Linked DNA regions of Yarrowia lipolytica. The protein of the gene in region 2 binds, or shares a complex with, the protein of the main gene of each other region. Links are inferred from orthologs where the notes say so. Each region holds a gene or a part of one and is shown on either strand. Other genes may lie near its edges.

Region 1 (2,537 bases), on a different chromosome or scaffold from region 2:
CGATGGTCTTCTCTATCGTCTTTCTAGATCTGCTCTTCAGCTTCTTCACCTACCTGGCTCTTCGAGAGGAGCGTAACGAGTACCTCAAGAAGAAGATCCTCGCTGTCCAGGCGACCCAGAAGGATCAGGAGGAGAACAACTTGGTGAGTTGAAGATGAAGAGTTCCAGCAGACCTTGAAAGGAACTTCAAAAGAGCTTTAAAGTACATAAAATGAGCGGTCAGTAGTCGACTTTGCTAAGAGACTTCACACTCATGGCTGCTTATAGATGGAATGGTAGCTAAATACATGCATTTTCATTATTCACCATGAGTACACTGTTCGGTATTACAACCAAAACAGGGTCAGGACAAAGCGAGCCATTCTACTGGATACGGCTGGGTAGTTTCTGTATGTCTCAGATATTTAGAAGACACGTGAGCCACATATTCGCTCTACACACTCAACATTCATCTCTTGTACATCATATTTGATTCTATAATACTATCTCCATATATACAAATATGTATCTAATAGCTCTGCTGTGGCTCGTTCCTCTCGTACGCTTTCTCGCTTCGCTGAAAAAGGCTCGCTTATCGCCTAAAACAACCACCACTTCTTTCGATGCAGCTCGACAGCCTTCGCCTTGTACGACTCCATCTCCTTCCAGCAGTCTCGTCCCCATTCACAGCCGGCCATGTTGACAAGGAAGTCTCGTGACTTCTCGTCGTAGAACAGCTGCTTGTCATTCTCCATCTCGGAACAAGCTCCGGGAGGCAGACCGTTGATTTTTCTGAGGGGCAGAAAGCCGACCCGTCCTCGGATCCAGGGCTGGTTCGTGAACAGGTACTCCAGCGCGTCCTGCTCCTTGTGCTCCCACTCCATGTGCCTCTGTTCATAGAAGACAGGGTCCCACCACAGATCGAGCAGCTTGTCGGTCCAGTCGGACCGTCGAATGAAGAAGGAACCCAGATTGAAGCCTCCGCAGTCCTGGGTGACAATCAGGTCGACGGGCTGGTTGTAGTCCACGTAGGGGATCTGCACGGGTAAGTTCAAAGGGTTGAATTGGCCAGTTAGGTCTCGGTAGGTCTCATTGTAGAGGTTGTTGAAAATGTGCTGATCCAGCGAGATCTGGGGCTCCATGATGAGCGTATGCAGATCGAGCCACCAGAACCACTCGGCGTTGGGGAACTGGCGCATGGTCTCCTTGATGATGTCGACCTTCTGCCACGACTCTCTCCACTCGTGAGAGTATCTCTTCTTGAGACTCACGTCCTTGACGGCAAGATGGTAGCCGTGGCGCTCGGCGTATTCTCGCTTGTTTTCAATGCTGCTTCGCTCGATGGCCCACTCTTTGGCTCCCTTCCAGTGCATGACTCCTCCACCCTCGTTGGCAGCCAGGATAATCACGTACTTGCCCGAGCCCCAGTTGAAGTGCGGCACAAATGGCACGGCTGTGAAGAAGGACAGCAGGGTCAGCAGCAAAAAAATGACGACAAAGATTTTGCGCCGTATCAGGGCCGTAGCCAAACCCTCGATGAAGCCTCCCACCGTGGCGATGATCCCTCCTCGTTGCCGTCGCGACCACCCGCCCTCGGGCTTGTCCCACGCCGACACGGACGATTTGCGCCTCCAGTTCTGGCTCATTGTGTGTGTGTTTTTGTGTTTGTCGTGGTGAAGTGTATGTGTTGATGTTGTCTTTTTGGTGATGAGAGTTAATGTACAGTAGCTTGGTAGACATGCGTGTGGTGGACGTGCGTACTTTATTTCAGTTGGACCAGCATCGCTGTATTTGTAGCTAATGGACTTGGTGAACCTGGGACATGTCTTGGAAGAGCATACATACTACGTGGACGACGTAAGTCATTTCCGTGAGAATAATTACCGCTCTCTCTTGCTCCTCAATCTGGTACAGTATTACGTGTATATCTGGCGCCTTACATGTTCAACGTCACAGAATTTTTCGTCCCAAAAACCGTGTGCATACTACATACGTCATGGTGACGCTGAGATAATGAGATGATAGCGATGTAAGGACAGGTACGAGGAGCAGGACCATAGAAGATGAAGACTAGAACCGTACCAGTAGTATTGAGTGATCGCTGCACAATACCAACCCACATCTCCACCTCGTCCATCACTACAACCTATTGTTATTCACGACGATAAATATGCTCATGTGGACCAGTTACTTCTTTTCATCTTTAAGCTCCACTGACGGCTTCAAAGTGGGTACACGGCTGGTGGGCATGCTTAACGAGTACTTGTAGCTACAGTAGAGAAGAGGTTGTAGACAAGGCAATGGTACGATGCACGTGAGCTTTCACATCGAACCAGGCTTGACTGTAACCACCTCACAACTGCTTAGTCACATCCACTCACACGTGCCACCCCTACTTTTCTTTGTGCGCTTGTGCATCCTCTTGTCCATCTTCAGGGGCAACCTTTTTCACTACGAGTACATACTGTAGTTACAAGCACTGCTCCGAGGCAAGGATCGTCCTGAGTATGTGCGAGCTGATGACTGGGTGAGGTTATGAGTGGAGAGATGTTGATTAT
Region 2 (3,173 bases):
AAGGCTTCTAGAGGGCAAGCCGGAATGAGAGTCAACTGAATGAGAGTCAACTGAGAGAAGCAATTTGCCACAATAACACATTGTTGAGGTCGGAAAGCTCCTATTAAATCTATCGCATTTGTATGAAATAATGGAGGTTAAATCGTGAGAAAACCAAACAATTCAGATTAATTCACATCCTCCTGATATACGCCATTTTTTACTCTTTCAAATAGCTACTGTATAAAAGGTAGCAATATGAATATCAAAGACCATCCTTTCGTACCAAATGAGACCCTTCATCCACCAATAGAAATTTACAACACTCTCGAGACTCGCTTTTAGCTGTATCTCTGTTCTCAAGTAATATGGAAGAACTCTGTATACTTGTATGTACTGTATGTGTAAGTCGCAATGCCGGGCAAGAATTACTGAGTTGATCGAGGCTTGATCTTGCACAGTTCTGTAAGTTCCCACGGTCGGAACACAGGCTCGCCTCTCCTCCTACTGTTGATTGGAGACTCTCGGACCTTTGCCCTCGAATCTCTCTCACTCTTCCCAAATCTATTATGCTAGCTACTGATTGACCTGCGGCTGGTTCTGGTTCATTCTCTCGTCCTCGGGCTTCCATGAACCGGAAAACAGATGCTTGACAAAGGCCAGCGGGTCGTCTGTATCTTTGGCGCCAAACTGGTCGACACCGGGAGAGAACGACGTCACGGGCAGAACCAACACGTCCGACACGTGCTTGGGGGTCTTGAGGTTGAAAAAGTCCTTGATGCCGACCTGCGACTTGAGTCCCGACTTCTTTCGGTCGTTGAAGTAGTCGAAGACAGAGTCGGTCCACACTCCGGGCCCGGTCCAGTCCATGATCTCGCTGCCATCGGTCTTGTCGCCAGCCATCTCCAGAGTACCACTTCGCTTCTTGGCCAGCGTCTTCTCCACGATTCGGGCCACAATGTCTCGCAGAACGGGGTGACCGGGTTTGGCCTGGATTGTCCACTGGCACAGCTGGATTCGTCGAGCGTACCACTCCTTCCAGTCGGGTCGGTCGGGATCGGCCTCAATACCGACAATCAGACCAACAGTGGAAGGGGAGACCTCATCAGGGATCCAGTTGGGGATGGGCTTGAGGTCCTCAGTGTCGACATCGGAGTAGACACCTCCCCGAGCCAGCAGAACCAGGTAACGGAAGAAGTCGGCCCGCAGAATGTTTTTAGGCATGGCCTTGTACGCCTCCACCACCTCAGGGATCTGAGCATACAGGTGCTGTACAAACATTGCTGCTGCGTCATCGGTCAGCACCTCGTGGACAAAGCTGGGGTTCTTCTCCGTCCAAGTTCGGATCGGCTGTCGGATCGTGTCGGGCGTGTCGTCGGTGATCTCGTCCTTCCACGTCTGCCAGATGAAGGCAGGGAACTTTTTGTACGTCTCGTAGGGGAAGGTGTATGCGAGTTTTTCTCTGAGCGACGCTCCCTGGGGAGGAGTTCGAAGACGTTGGATCTCCTTCTCCAGCACCCGGTTTTCGGTCTCCAGCTCGCTGAGCTTCTTGTTGAACGAATCGAACCGCTTGGCCGCGGCTGCCTCCTGCTCCTTGAGCGCCTTTTCCGTCTCCGCCCGCATCTTGTAGATTTTGTTTTCGAAAGCGGACATATCGCCGGGCAGTAGCACCGTGGGGGCAATTTTTTCACTGGACCCGAAAAACAGGAAGCACACGGTCGCGACCGCGAGCCCCAGCAAAATCACCCGTCGAGCTGTGATGAGAGCCATGGTGTGACGAAGTATCGAGTGGGTGTCGACGTGCGATGTCACTAGAGTTGATGTACGTGTAAAGTTACGCGAGTTTGTGTGTAGCGTGGTGTGTGTGTGTGTGCGTCTTCTCCGAGACAATTAACATGAAGTAACATGCGAGAGATTAACACGATAAGAGGGATTGGATGGCTATTTATATTTTGAGGATGTTGTAGCCACCTCGTTGCATTCATTCTGTCATTAAATCTACTTCAACATGTACTGGTAACTACTTATACCTCTCGCCTACGAATGTTGTATTGCACCCATCTCACGCAAAAGAAACATAAAGGCACACACCGAGAGCAAAAAACGGTTCATAAAAAAAAAAAATTAAGAAAAAAAAAAATAAGAAAAGAAAGTCCGCAGATGCAAAAAGTCGACAGGAATAAAAACTCCCAAAAATAGACCCTCTTCATATATTATAGGTGACAGCGATAAAAAGGCGACATCAATGGGTGCTAGAGACGTGATAGCGACAGGAAAAATAGTTCAATTAAATACCCCAATTGTGAAGATTCTAACGGTATAAACAATATCACATTATTCAAAGTCCATCATCATAAACTAAGCAGCATCACACAGTTAAACCAATAGCGTTCATTTCGCCTGTCCTATTACCTGTGTCTTACAGTGCGTATACAACCTATAACAACTTGTTGTAACATTACAATGTAACGAAACAGATCCCAAAGACCCAAAAACAAGGAGATCATTACTCAGCCATTCAGCCGTTCTATTGCCAAAACAACCTCGGAGCTACAGTACTTGTACGAGTATGACGCAGCCAACAAAGTTGTGCCGCGCCAGCTGGCTGTGCTGCATCATACATGTAGGAACAACTGTTGACTTGTACAGCCTACAAGGAACTAGAAAATAAGGGGTAATGTCACGTGCCCATTGTGTGGTCACGTGATCTCAGCTTTGAATAGATTTGGATCATTTCACTGTGACAATATTGTGCAAGTTCCAACTTATGACATACTGAAAGTGAGTAAGATAACGCTCAACGGTCATTGGTTACACATTACTTGGTTGCTTTGTTGTACTAATATACTGTCTGTATTGGTTCTATTCGTTAATTGATATCGGAAAACAACTTTAAGGCCTCAACAACCACCTCATCCTGCATTCGAGGAGCAATCAACTGGATAGAAAGAGGAGCTCCTTCATACGTCTCGGGAGAATACAACGCCTGCCATTCGGCATCTAGCTTGTTTCGGGGCTTGAAGTCCTCCACAGGCTTGTCGGAAGCCTTGACAGACGAGTAAGGGACTGACACGGAAGTGTAATCCGCCAGATTCCAGTACGCTGTGTATCCCCAGTAGTTGCAAGTTCCAAACTTGAAGGCAGCTCCCGGCAGAACCGGGGTGATGAGCATGTCGATTCCAGCCTTGGTCCAC

Evidence for each region. Proteins that work in one complex are often made in the same cells at the same time.
Region 1: YALI1_F10633g (region 2) and YALI1_E30725g share a complex: the UniProt entries of both Saccharomyces cerevisiae proteins name them as parts of the M-Pol II complex. The link is inferred for Yarrowia lipolytica from reciprocal best matches to the Saccharomyces cerevisiae genes HOC1 and MNN10.

The regions. Positions count from the first base shown.
Region 1 is NC_090774.1:3,071,618-3,074,154, reverse strand, and holds YALI1_E30725g (uncharacterized protein), read right to left. Parts: upstream 1,626-2,537; coding exon 579-1,625; downstream 1-578. Other genes in the region: YALI1_E30743g (uncharacterized protein), read left to right, coding at 1-152. UniProt on the Saccharomyces cerevisiae protein: Required for polarized growth and efficient budding. The M-Pol II complex possesses alpha-1,6-mannosyltransferase activity and is probably involved in the elongation of the mannan backbone of N-linked glycans on cell wall and periplasmic proteins.
Region 2 is NC_090775.1:1,061,573-1,064,745, forward strand, and holds YALI1_F10633g (uncharacterized protein), read right to left. Parts: upstream 1,750-3,173; coding exon 556-1,749; downstream 1-555. Other genes in the region: YALI1_F10616g (uncharacterized protein), read right to left, coding at 1-81; YALI1_F10652g (uncharacterized protein), read right to left, coding at 2,849-3,173. UniProt on the Saccharomyces cerevisiae protein: The M-Pol II complex possesses alpha-1,6-mannosyltransferase activity and is probably involved in the elongation of the mannan backbone of N-linked glycans on cell wall and periplasmic proteins.